Rattus norvegicus: one gene and its partners. The protein of the gene in region 1 interacts with the protein of each later gene in a pairwise test. Links are inferred from orthologs where the notes say so. Each region holds a gene or a part of one and is shown on either strand. Other genes may lie near its edges.

Region 1 (4,358 bases):
TAAATGGAACTCAGAGATCTGCCTGCCTCTGCTTCTCCCGTGCTGGGATCAAAGTGTGCTCTGACAGGTCAGTTATCTTTACAAAGGCACTTAAAACAGGCAAAAAGGAAATCAAGTTGTAAGACCCACCAAAACACTACCAAATGAATTAAACCTGTATGACACGGTGAATTAATGACTTGACCAACTACTCAAAAGCTCATATTTAGGGTTGGGGATTTAGCTCAGCGGTAGAGCGCTTGCCTAGCGAGCGCAAGGCCCTGGGTTCGGTCCCCAGCTCCGAAAAAAAAAAAAAAAAAGCTCATATTTACGCACTTAAAAGGGAAATATGTAGACTGCACTATGGGTTCTTCACTCAGGTGAAATCAACACAACCTATCTAGGGAAATGAAATAAAATACTGGTGAGGATAAAGCTAACTGTTGGCTGTGGTTTTTTACAATATTAAATTTTATCTGATCTTTTCCAAAATATTCTTTGCAACTTACTTCCTTGAACTGAATTCCCTGCTAGGTTTTTAAGGCACCATTCTTGAACTCATATTTCCTATTTCCTTCCTGAGAACCATTGACAATGTTTTTAACCAGAGGAGGAGCTTTTATCCGATTTGCACACTTGGGTGTAGAGGTCAAAGAGAAACCTTCTAGCATGTGGGTCTGAATCTGAACTCGGTCATCAGGCTCCTCAGCCATCAATTAAATAGTAGAACAGTAAATGGAGCTGGCCACTCAGCCCATCAGTTAAATAGTAGAATAGTAATAATATGTACTACTAGAGTCATACAAATGCCGATAATCTTCAACTTAAACACCAAATGCCATGGTGAAAAGTCAGACCACACAAAGCAAAGAGGGTATATCAATTTTCAGGGCAGTAACTTGACACTTTTAGATAAAAGAAAGCATGAGAGGTCTAAAGACCCATACAACCTTATTATAGAATACATGTTGTAGGTTGTTAACAACATAAGAATATACAACGACCCCAAACTAAGTTTGCTTATTAAAGAAAAAGTTTAAATAAATCACCATTAAAAATGTGAATACTGTCATTCATATTGTTTCTGCATTGTTTCACAAAAATACAAAGTCATCCTTCCATTCAGAGTTTTGGCAAATGAATACAGAGGTCAGAGTTCATGCTACGTAAGACAGATCCCTACGTATTTCTTAGTATGCTCACTAACGCTGCTAACATTGTCACTTCAATTTTAAGTGACTTTCTTCATGTCTACTTGGAACGATGGATAATTGTCTGCAAGCTTGGGGGCACAATAAAGCTGGAGAGCTACAAGATTTCTAACAATTTCTCATATGCTTAAAATGACGAATTTTAAAAATCATTAATGACATTATCAGAGTACCAAGCAAGCATAATAGGAAAACTGTGAACCTTGAAAAAAATAATTACTTTCAGAATTGTTAAGTTCAATCATAGAAAAACTGGCATTTTTGTCGATTTAGCACTTTTATAGCAGAGTAAAATTATTACTTTCAATATTTCACATAAATAAATCTGGTAAGCATTAATATGCTTAAAATTTGCAGGACTTACAGGCAGTCAGAGTTTTATTTTTTAAATATGCTATTTCCTGATATATTTTGTGACAGAAAAATAAACCTAACTCAATAATGAGCTACAACAATGTGTATCTGATGAAATCCCTTGGTTTTAATAGGCCTCTTTTTAAAAGTAAGACTCAAGTTAACTATGAGGGACATCATAATGAAGTTTCACAGTACAACACTAGTCACAGAGGCATTACCCTAGGAGAGCCTCTCTGATACGGGTGAACAGTATTTTGAAATAAGCTACTCACACACTCCCATTATTCTTCCTATTTCAAATCATTTAATTAACAAACAACTTGCCTTTGACTAGACAAAAAGCTTTAAATATCAGTGAGGAGGCCTAGTTACTTACTGGCTGGGTACGTAGAAAAGAGATGACTATCTAATTTGGAATTATTTTTTTATCTATAGTGAAAATTGTTTCAACACCCCTTCCCAATTCAAGAATGCCCATTATGTCTCCATAGATCCCCCAGCACTGTACCGTAAGGGAGCAACTGAAAGTCTTCTCGTCTATACCTAAAGACTGTGAAGGCTCCTTCCCCAAGGAAAAGACAGCAAAGGCCTGGCAGGCAATATCCCCAGTACCCCTGAAAGCGTGGGCCTGTGAGGTGCGCTGCTGCCGGGGATCTAGTTACTACCTTTCCCCTTCCCCCAACCCACTTCCCGGGTTTTCTCGGCCTGTTCCTTCCCCACCGTACAGTCACACTTCCAGATGTTGTTGCCGCCGCCTCGGGGCTCTCTCTAGAGCTCACGTGCCCGGGACGAGTGCTTCGGCATCTGCCCCCCAAACCCTGTTCCTCCCCAGGCCGGCCGGCCGCCCGCGAGACCGCCTATCCCAGGGCCCGGGGAGGGGAGGGAAAGGCGGCGGGAGGAGGAGGGGAGACCGCCGCTTCCCCATAGGCAGAAAGGCGGCCGCAGCGAGGCCGGCTGGGACCGCCGGGGTCGCGGAAGGAAGGGCCCTGCCGCCCTGGGCTGAGATGGGGGTGTCCGGTAGCTCATTCCTGACCTCCTCGCTCTTCAGCACCTCCTTGAACTCCCGCTTGATTCGCTGCACCGCGATGTTGGCCATGTCTCTGCCCGCAGCTGATTCGTACCCGCCTCCTCCGCCACCGCTACGACCACCGCCACCGCTGCCACCTCTTCCTCCACCGCCTCCTCCCTCAGTGATTCAGACCCGAGCACACGAACGCTGCCACTGCCACCCTTGCCGTCGCGTTCCCCCTCAGTGTAGAATCACCTCCGCGCCCGGCCACCAAAATGGCGCCGGGTCCGCGCATGCGCACCACGCTGACCCGGGCGGGCGGCGCAGCCGCTCCAGTGGTAGCCCCATACGTCTCAGCAGCGAGCCCGCGCCGCGCGTCTCAGCCGGGGCTTCGGCCGCGTGGCTCCGCCCTGCCGGCGGCTGGGGCCAGGAGGGTGCGGTTTCTGTGCCGGTCCGCGGGGTTTGGGCCTGCGGGGTCCTCCCCTGCCCCTCGGCCCCCTTTACGGTGAGGCCTCCAGTCCCTAGCCACGGACCCGAGGTGGGAGCCCCGCCTGGCGGGTTCCCGGGGCCCCAGCCGGGCTGAGCCTCGCTCTAACTCGGCCAGACCCAGAACCCACGGGCTAGAGGTGCCTCCCTGTGTCTAGCGGAGGAAAAAACTATGCAGGAACTGGGTCCTGCCCAGCGTCCGTTGGTAAACCCCCGGGATATCCACTGCCGTAGCTTTTGTTCTGGAACCATGATAACGCAACTATTATTCGGTCATCTCAGGTATTACAGATTTTTAAGGTTGTGTAATGGTTGCGTCCCACGGGTTGTAATTGATACAGGTGTTGCCGGGGACAGGCCTGTGATGAGTTTAAAAGCCAGAAGTTAAATCTTTGACCTGTTTAGATAGTCAATGCTGAGCTGTAGAACTAACATGTTTTTCAAACTTGAACGCACCTCGGAATCCCTGGAGAGCTGGTTAGATTACTAGGACCTATCCCTAGAGTCTGGATGGGGCTAAGAATTTGCATTGCGAGCAAACTCCCTGCTGCCTGTTTTTCAGCGACCACGCTGTGAGAATGGCTGAATTAAGCATGTGAAAGTCTGTATAATTTATAGTGACAGTTGGAGAAATAGAAGGCCGAAAGAACTTTAGACCTACAAAGGTTTTTGGCGCTCGTAGATGTCAATAAGCAGTGAGTGAATATAATTGAGTGGAGAAAAGATGACCGAGTAAAATGTTTTAATTGAGCAACAACGTTGAGAGGCTATTTGAAAGTGGTTAGTAGAGTTTAAAACAAATAACGGAATGTAGATGCTGAGGAATACTTTTGAAAATAACATTGTGAAATAATGAAGGTATTATTTTAGGAGTATGTTTCATGTATTCACCTAATCAATCAGTTCAGTATTCCATCATAAGACTAATACGAGCTGAATGTAGTGGTATAGGCTTGTAATCCTAGATTGGGAGACAGAAGCAGGAGGATCATGAGTTCGAGAGAAACCAGTCTAAGAGTGCTCCCACTTCTCTCCTATATCCGTTGCCAGCTGCGGTTCCCTCGTCTGTGAAATGAGGAGGTTGTTTAAACTTAAGAGTTCAAAATTCTGAAACATCTCAAAGCCTTTCCCTGAGTAGACAGACATAAATTATAAAAGATCTTATAGCAGAGCCCTCTAGTGGTTATAAGGACCGTCAACTATATACTGAACAACTGAACACTACAAAGGATTTTTGCTATGATATAAATCTAGAAATGTTGTAGGTATCTATGCCAATACAACCTAAAACACTTTCTATCCCACTCTGTCCAACC
Region 2 (4,323 bases), on another chromosome or scaffold:
GGTGTTGGGGTTCTTGAGTATGTGTGTGTCGATGCAGGGGCATATTCTAAGATGGCTATGAACTTAGAGGTGTGGGGTGGACATGGGACCGGAAAACATTTCACCAACCTTGTGAGAATTGAACAGTAATGGCAGCCAGGGAAAAGTGGGATGGTGTCCCTCTTCCCTAGGCTCTGGTTCCTCCATCTGTTAACTTTAGCAACTAGTCAGTCTCTCTCTCTTCCCCCTCCCCTCCCCTCCCCTCCCCTCCCTCCCTCTCCCTCTCCCTCTCCCTCTCCCTCTCCCTCTCCCTCTCCCTCTCCCTCTCCCTCTCCCTCTCCCTCTCCCTCTCCCTGTCTCTCTCTCTCTCTCTCTCTCTCTCTCTCTCTCTCTCTCTCTCTCTCTCTCTCTCTCTCTCTCTCTCTCTCTCTCTCTCTCTCTCTCTCTCGGTACCAGCTATGTAGGAAGGAAGGAATTCTGTGTTCACCCAGGCTTCCTGGGAAAGCTTAGGGGGCAGGAAGAGTACAGCAGGGTCCTGGGAAAGTGAAGGAGTGACCAGTCCTCTTCAGGTCAGGGGGGAGGGGATGGACAGCGGTGGATGACGTGGTTGTTGCTAGTCTGGGAGGTTCAGTACTGTCTTGGCTGAGGAGGTCTTTCGGCTGGTGGAAAAACCTGGCTTGATGTGGCCCCAGGGAAGTGAGTTGGAGGAGGCGGAGACAGCTCTGTAGGGAAGCAGAGCGGAGCAGAGCTTTTTTTCTTCGGGAATTTTTAACTCTATTTGAGCCACGTACTTGACACTAACACCACCCCAAGCCATTTTTAAAGGATCTATCCACCTCGCATTCTGCACTGACCTATGTCCCTATTTGTGGAAAACTAGTCATCAGCCCCCATTTGGCAACAGGCTGCGCGGGGTGGGGGTGGGGGGGTCACCGGAGGTAACAGTCTGGAAGGAGGCAAGAGTTGAGGGAGGGGATTGAAGTAGTTTAGTCACAGGGTTTATTTTGTAGTATCAATGTTTTCCTTTTAACTAAAACTTCCCATCCAACATATTCCAGCGTAAGATTTCAAAAAATTGCCCCCCCCCCTTCCAAATCCATATACCCGCCTGCTCCCATCCCTGCCAGTTCCTAAAGGTGTCACACAGTTGGCTGGGAAAGAGGTGGGGAGAGGGCTCCTCCGGGAGGGGAAGCCAAGAGAGTGGCGTTTCTAAGGGATTTAACCTCCTACCCTCGGCTACATGACGCCACCCCTCCCACCAAAGACTGGAACTGCGCCTCCATTTTTGTTTTGGGGCAGAGGCAGGGGCTCCCGGGTAGGAGGGGGTCAAAGGAAACGGTGATTATCACCCACCAAGAGGAAGGGTGCTCTCCCCCTCCTTTCTCTCAGTCTGCACCCCGGCATCCCCTTCCACCTTCTCGGGGTCTCCCCCCCCCACCCCGCCCCTTGTTGCTAAGGCCCGGACCGTCATCCCAGCAACAGCCTCAGTCATGTGACCGGCAATGGCGGCGCTGACGAGAGGTAGGTGAGCCCGGCGCCCCCACACCCACCGCGTGCCCCCCAGGCCGGGTCCGCACCCTCACAAGCTCCCCCGCTTTCCTCCGCCCCCTCCTCCGCCATTGGCCCCCTGCGCGCGCGCGGCGGGAGAAGGGGGCGACCCCGGGGCCGGGCCTGTCATCTTTCCCGCACCTCCAGCCCTGGCCTCCATTTGGGGGTTCTGAGGGCCGCAGTCAGGTGGACACACACCCTCACCAAGCGGCGAGACTCCGGGGCTTCCTCGAGTAGGGATGCGGGAGTTGGTTTCGGGTCGGATGGATCCGGGGGCAGTCTGGGGGAGAAGGGTAGGGGTGCCTCAGTGGACACCCCCCAGGGGACCCTTGCTCTTTCTCGCCGTCCCTGACAGCTGCTGCTGTCTAGAGGAAGAGACTGGTCTCGTGTCCGGCCTGGTTTGCCCCAGAGGAATGCTAGACCCAGACTGAACTGTGGCCCCGCCTCCCTGTGCTGTGCCAGCAGGACTTGGAGCTAGGACACCTAGATCCTGGGTTCTCTCTGGTGGGAAGGGGGCATTTCACCGTGCACAGACCGTGCGGGTTGAGACTCTAGGTTTTCATCTCAAGGATCCTATGATAGAGGCACAGACGGACAGCGGCTTCTTTTTGGATCACAAGGAATTGGGGTCACATTAACAGCCCCTCTTCCTAATTGGGCTGTACTTTATGTTGTGGGAAAGGCCTGGAGCTGACTGACAGGGCTCAGGTCCCTGGAGCTGAGCTCCTGCCTGATTTGCTGCTGACAACAGCTCTGCAGGCACTGGGTTTAAAGGTGACAATGAGAACTTTGTTATTGCGGGACTGCTAACACTTTACTGGCATCCCTAACAGACTTCCGGCTCTCAAGGAAAGGTCCCTGTCAACAACAGGGACTTGAACTATTTGAGAACGTAAAGAAATGAGGCGAGGAACATAGGAGATATTTCTGTCAGTGTAATCTGAGGGAGGTGGCATGTACGACCTTCATCCTATGAGGCCGTTTTTTTTTTTTTTCTCCTTCCTGTCTTTATCTGCACCTAGGATCTCCCTCTGCACTGGGAGAAAAAGAGAAGTTAGCCTGATGAAGTTCCTTGAGCAACTTGGAGAGGATCCTGCAGGAGAGAGGAAATAGAGGAGCGTTTTCTTTCTGGGCTGGCTGAGGAAATGCTATCATAACTCTTTACCTTCCTCGTCCCCAGCTCTGGCCAGCTGAAGGTGGAGGTGGAGGGATCCGCTACCACCATACCGTGGTCTTTTCAGGTACCTGTGCCCCAAGAGAACCTCAGTTCTCATGTCCTCCTATGTTCCGAGAAATCCCCATTGCCCAGTACCCCTACCCCAGATTCCTGGCTGTTTCAAGGGCTCCTGAGTTGGGGCCTGTGGGGGTTGGGGAATAGGTTTCTTACTTTCTTTTCTTTCCCATCCCACCAGGCCACACGATCTCCAAGTAGCAAGGGGGAAAGAGAGTGAGCCTGCATGCCAATTCTAAGCTCTTCCGGATCAAAGTGAGCAAATGGGAGGGGGTGGGAGTGGGGGTGGGGGTGGGAAGTCTCCTTCCCTTTTTTTTTTCCACTCTGAGGGGAAGGGGTAGGTTGCTGTGCTCAGGAGAGAAATGAAAGAGGCAAGCAAGACTGGTACTTGGCTTAGATAATGATGAAATATGGAAACTTGTTCCCAAAGGGTGCTGGGACTATAAGAGAGAAGTGGGAGATAGAAAACCTTAGTTTGCAGGCGCTGTTAGGGGTTGGCTTTGAGGAAAACAGAGGTAATATGGGGTTTGGAGGGAGCCTGAAGTAGGAGGCACTTTTATCTGCCAAATGGGGACGCCCCACTCTGAGTCCCTTTCACCCTGGGGGCAGTGTCGTTCGTCCTGTCCAGAATGGCAGCCTGTGGAGGCTCCTGCAAGAACAAAGTGACAGTCTCCAAGCCTGTGTGGGACTTCCTGAGCAAGGAGACCCCAGCCCGGCTGGCCCGGCTTCGGGAGGAGCACCGAGTGTCCATCCTCATAGATGGCGAGACTTCTGACATCTATGTGCTCCAGCTGTCTCCACAGGGTCCTCCCCCGGCCCCCCCCAATGGGCTCTACCTGGCCAGGAAGGCTCTCAAGGGGCTACTGAAAGAGGCAGAAAAAGAGCTGAAGAAAGCTCAGAGGCAGGGGGAGCTCATGGGCTGCCTGGCTTTGGGGGGTGGAGGGGAGCACCCTGAGCTGCACCGCCCAGGCCCACCTCCTCTCCGAGCAGCCCCACTCCTGCCCCCAGGGGCAAGAGGGCTCCCCCCTCCTCCTCCTCCCCTGCCCCCTCCACTCCCTCCTCGTCTCAGAGAGGATGCTGAAGAGCAGGAAACCACCTGCCCCATTTGCCTGGGGGAGATACAGAATGCCAAGACGCTGGAGAAGTGCAGGCACTCCTTCTGTGAGGGCTGCATCACAAGGGCCCTGCAGGTGAAAAAGGCCTGCCCCATGTGCGGCCGATTCTACGGGCAGCTGGTGGGCAACCAGCCCCAGAATGGGAGGATGCTGGTTTCCAAGGACGCCACCCTCCTGTTGCCCAGCTATGAGAAGTACGGCACCATTGTCATCCAATATGTCTTCCCGCCTGGCGTCCAGGGGGTAAGAAATCTCAGTCCCTTCCTGTTGGCCTCCTCCAAATTAACTCACTCTGATAAAGAGAATATGTTGCTAGACATGGTGCACTCCTGCTGTCTCCCACCATGCCTTTTATGACTGGGTGTTCTGGAGCTTGGCAGCAGGGTCATCTCCTTGAGGCCCAACTATTTTATTTTTATTTTTTTATTTTTTTTTTATTTTTATTTTTTT
Region 3 (4,248 bases), on another chromosome or scaffold:
ACAGAGAGAGAGAGAGAGAGAGAGAGAGAGAAAGAGAGGGAGACAGACAGAGACGCAGAGAGAGAAGTCGGCAGCTGTTGTGGAAAATAGTATGCCAGTTCCGAAAAAAACCTAAATATAGAATCTCCATATGGCCCAGTCTTTCCGCTCCCAGGTATACATTCTAAGAACTGGAAACAAGGACTCAGACAGGTATCTGTACAGCGGTTCACAGAAGCATTATTCACAGCCGTCAAAATCTGGAAATACCTGTCTATCAACAAACGAGCGGATAAACAAAATATGGTATTTTCATACATACAATTAAACATTGGCCACAACAGCAATGAAATTCTGATACACACTAAGAGATGGGTGAATGTTAAAATTAGTATGCTACATGGAATTCTCGGAAGGGCAGAGGATACAGGACTCCACCTACATGGGATCCCAGGTATGGGGAACTCAGGTACACAAGGGGCAGCAGAGGGTCTCAGGGGCTGGGGGGAGTTACACAGAGAGTTAGTATTCAATGGGGTATGTGCTTCTGTCCAGCTGATGGCACGTTCGGATAACGACACTGAAGGTTACATAACATTGCTAATGTACTTAATGCCACTGAATCAGCATCTGAGGATGGTTAAAACAGAGCTGGAGAGATGGCTCAGCGGTTAAGGGCACTGACTGCTCTTCCAGAAGTCCTGAGTTCAAATCCCAGCAACCACATGGTAGCTAACAACCATCTGGAATGGGGATCCAATGCCCTCATCTGGTGTGTTTGAAGACAGCGACAGTGTACGCATATACATAAAATAATCTTAAAAAAAAAAAAAAAAAAGATGTTTAAAAGAGTGCTGGGTGGGGTGGTATACAGTTTTAATTTCCAAGCTCAGGTGGATCTCCTTGTTCATGGTCAGCTACATAGTAAGACCCTGTCTCAAAAAAAAAAAAAAGTTTATTCAAATATACGTGGGGGTAGGAAGGCCTTGGAATGTAGCTCAATGAACAGTGCCAAGCGTGCACAAAGCCCCAGCATTATTCAATCCTTAGCATCATATAAATCAAGCATGGTAGTACGTACTTCCCGCACTTGAGAGATCGAGACAGGATGATTAGAAACCCAGGGTCGGAGTTGGGGATTTAGCTCAGTGGTAGAGCGCTTGCCTAGCAAACGCAAGGCCCTGGGTTCGGTTCCCAGCTCCGGGGGGGGGGGGGGGGGGAAACCCAGGGTCATCCCTGGCTATGCAGCAAGTTCAAGGCCAGCCTAGGATACACGAGACAAAGTACATAGGTAGGTGGGAGCCAGGAGTGGTGGGTCTCACCTGCAATCCCAGTACTCAGGAGGCTGAGGCAGGAGGATTGCCTTGAATCTCAGACAAGCCAACACTACACAGCAAGACCCTATTTCAAAAACAAAACAAACAAACAAAAATAGATACAAGGCCTGGGGGGATAAACCGGCCGAAGAGCCCTTGCCTTCCATGCCTGGGGCATGGATCTGAGGGATGGGGACACATGGAGCGAACACCTGCAGTCTGAGCTCTAGGAGGCTGAAGAAACAGAACCAGTTCTCCTGAGCCATACACAGCCAGGCTTGTTTGTTTGCTTGTGTTTAAAAGGCTGGAGAGAGGATAGCTCACTGGTTGAGGGTAGGCGTTGGTACTGCTCTTCCAGCTGTCCTTCCTGAGTTCAGTTCCCAGCAGCCACATCGGGTGACTCACAACTGTCTGTAGTTCCAGTTCCATGGAGATCAGACGACTCTGGCCTCTGAGGTTACGTACACTCCCATGCACATAGCCACACAAACACACACATAGAACACATAACTTAAAATATGTGGTTCTGTTTGTTTGTTTGTTTTGTTTGTTTGACACAAAGTCTCAGAAAGTCCAGGCTGACTTCTCCCTTACTTATGTAGCTGAGACTGACCTTAAAACTCCCGATCACTCTGTCTCCACACTTTCCCTCCTCTCCAGCCTGTACTGGGATATGCAACACTGCAGACTGTAACACTGGTTTTAAACAAAGCTTTTCAAATAAGAGACACCCGTAGTGTTCACACCTCTTCCTGCCTCTTGGACCCTTTTTCCCCTCCCAAACCTCCCAGTCTCCCCAAAGGACTTCTTTTCTACCTTATTTTCTCTTTTGTTGGGAGCTTTGAACCAGCCTGCCCAGTTGCAAAGGGACTGTCTTTTGTCACTCATGAAACAGTTGAGTTTCAGGACCCGTTGACAGGAAGGCACTTCCTTGCCATTCCAAATTAAGTCAGGTTTCCTGGAGTGTCTGACCAACGAGATGTTTCTGGATGAAAACAACCCAATTCATCCAGCAAATGACACAGACTCTCAAGGGTTGCCAAAAACCTACCAAGTTGTTGGTCAATTTTTTGAATCTCAAATAAAATGCTTCGTTAGTGCGGTAAAAGTTCATCTTCGCTCAGACTAATAATTTTAAAGGCACATTTCTTAGCACCTAACTCTTTTCACTGTATCCCTCCCTGGGCTACCTGTATTACTTCCACCTGGCCCACTTCTGCCCACGTTGGAAAGCTTCCGTGAGGCTCCTCTAATGTCGTCGTCACTTGTCTTAGATCCAAGGATGGATTGTCTCTATGGACAACCAATGGCGTTAGCGTCTAAATGGTTCTAGGACACGCACTGGGGCCCTACACCTCGCCGTCACTCACCATTGCAGATGAAAAGTGTGGCCACAGTGGATGGCAGCCACGTCACGGGAGTGATCGAAGAAATCGGAGCAGATAGTGCACAGCGCGCGGATAGGCATGATGGCTCGGCTCAAGCAGCACAGAGAGCCAGCAGCCAGCAACAGACACAGTTGGGTGGCCGAACCGGCCGCGGTTCCCACTCCTTCAAATTTCGCTCCACCGCACGACTTCCGGCAGTGAACCGGAAGTCATAACAAACCCACTTCTGACTGCTCCCCCCTGATTGGACAAACTTCGGGGCGGGGCGCTGGGACGGCTGCGATAAACAACCCGCCAGCCGTGTGGAATCCTGGGACGTAGGTCTTTGAAGTCTAAGTGCATCTACCGGAAAAAAACAAAAACAAAACAAAAAACCAAAAACCTGTGATAGACTGTGGCAGAAAACAGTGAAGCTACAGTCTGACCCCTATCCCTGCCAAGCGGGGCATTGTCTCAAGCTAGAGCCGGTGAGAAGCGAACCAGACCCTTTCTTGCTGCACTTTGGGACAGTCAAATAGACTGGCATGCCAAGAAAAAGGGATGATGGTACCATGGCTATGGAAAGTAATAGGCCATACACTGGAAACCCGCAGTTCCCGACAGAAAGAAGCCCCCCACTTTCTCAGCCTTCTATTATGATGACCTTGTAAAGATGGACAGGTTAAGTCCTAACCCTTCAAACCACTACACTAGCCCTGGCTTCATTCAAATATAACCTAATAATCTTTGAGATTGGGTAGACACTAGGGCCAGTAATTTAGCCCTAACCTCCCAGGATTCCTCATGCCTGGGATTGTGGGATGGTGATTTTGGAGGTACAGATGCTTCAAAGACCAGGAAATAGCAAACCCTCTTTATTATTCCCACATCAGATAATTTAAGGTCCTCCCTGAGAAAGCAACCCAGATGAGTTTACCAAAGCCCCTCCGAGTTGAAGCGAATCTCCTTAGGGATTTTTATAGTATCATTAGCAATATTACTCCCCCAAAAGGAACATACATGACTCCATATTATAAAGCAGGTCTGCGTCAGCCAGGGAAGACAGAATGAAATCTTTTTGGTCTAAGTGGAAAGCACAGGTATTCACAGGAAGTAGGCATCAACATACAGCACAAAACTTGTGCAACCCCACTTTCTCCCCAGCCCAAGGAGGCCCACTGTGCCCATGAACAAGGTCACTTCCTATAGTGGTTGTCCCTGAGTGGATTCCACCTCTATGTCCAAGTTAAGACAAAGGCTCTTCGTCAACAAGAATTGGAAAAGCATCAGCCCTTCAGTGCTCGGCTAGGGATACTTCTTGGCTTAAACACACCACTCATGGTTTTTTTGAGCCCAGAGGATTTACCATTAACATCATCCAGGTACACATCGGAGAAGGTGACCTCCACTCTTACCCCAAGCAATGCACTGAGCATCAGCCGCTACCCGGAACTGCTCCCATGGCCTCTTCCCTCCCACACTGCCTTCCATAGGCTCCTCCCCAATAGGACAGAGGAAGCAAAGGCAAGAGGGTGGCCAGAGGCTTTGCAGGGTGACGTTTATTTGCCAGGTTCAGCAGGCACACA

What was found. The genes of interacting proteins can lie anywhere in the genome.
Region 2: the proteins of Ube2k (region 1) and Dtx3 interact in binary tests that used the Homo sapiens proteins (3 or more experiments, as listed by UniProt). The link is inferred for Rattus norvegicus from reciprocal best matches to the Homo sapiens genes UBE2K and DTX3.
Region 3: the proteins of Ube2k (region 1) and Traip interact in binary tests that used the Homo sapiens proteins (3 or more experiments, as listed by UniProt). The link is inferred for Rattus norvegicus from reciprocal best matches to the Homo sapiens genes UBE2K and TRAIP.

Annotation. Positions count from the first base shown.
Region 1 is NC_086032.1:43,069,360-43,073,717, forward strand, and holds the start of Ube2k (ubiquitin-conjugating enzyme E2 K), read right to left. Parts: upstream 2,812-4,358; 5' UTR 2,644-2,811; coding exon 2,581-2,643; intron 1-2,580. UniProt on the Homo sapiens protein: Accepts ubiquitin from the E1 complex and catalyzes its covalent attachment to other proteins. In vitro, in the presence or in the absence of BRCA1-BARD1 E3 ubiquitin-protein ligase complex, catalyzes the synthesis of 'Lys-48'-linked polyubiquitin chains.
Region 2 is NC_086025.1:64,900,909-64,905,231, reverse strand, and holds the start of Dtx3 (probable E3 ubiquitin-protein ligase DTX3), read left to right. Parts: upstream 1-1,479; 5' UTR 1,480-1,500; intron 1,501-1,546; exon of another isoform or gene 1,547-1,760; intron 1,761-2,549; 5' UTR 2,550-2,768; intron 2,769-2,939; 5' UTR 2,940-2,984; coding exon of another isoform or gene 2,985-3,012; coding exon 3,013-3,013; intron 3,014-3,367; coding exon 3,368-4,116; intron 4,117-4,255; exon of another isoform or gene 4,256-4,323. UniProt on the Homo sapiens protein: Regulator of Notch signaling, a signaling pathway involved in cell-cell communications that regulates a broad spectrum of cell-fate determinations.
Region 3 is NC_086026.1:117,519,072-117,523,319, reverse strand, and holds the start of Traip (E3 ubiquitin-protein ligase TRAIP), read right to left. Parts: upstream 2,845-4,248; 5' UTR 2,764-2,844; coding exon 2,666-2,763; intron 1-2,665. UniProt on the Homo sapiens protein: E3 ubiquitin ligase required to protect genome stability in response to replication stress.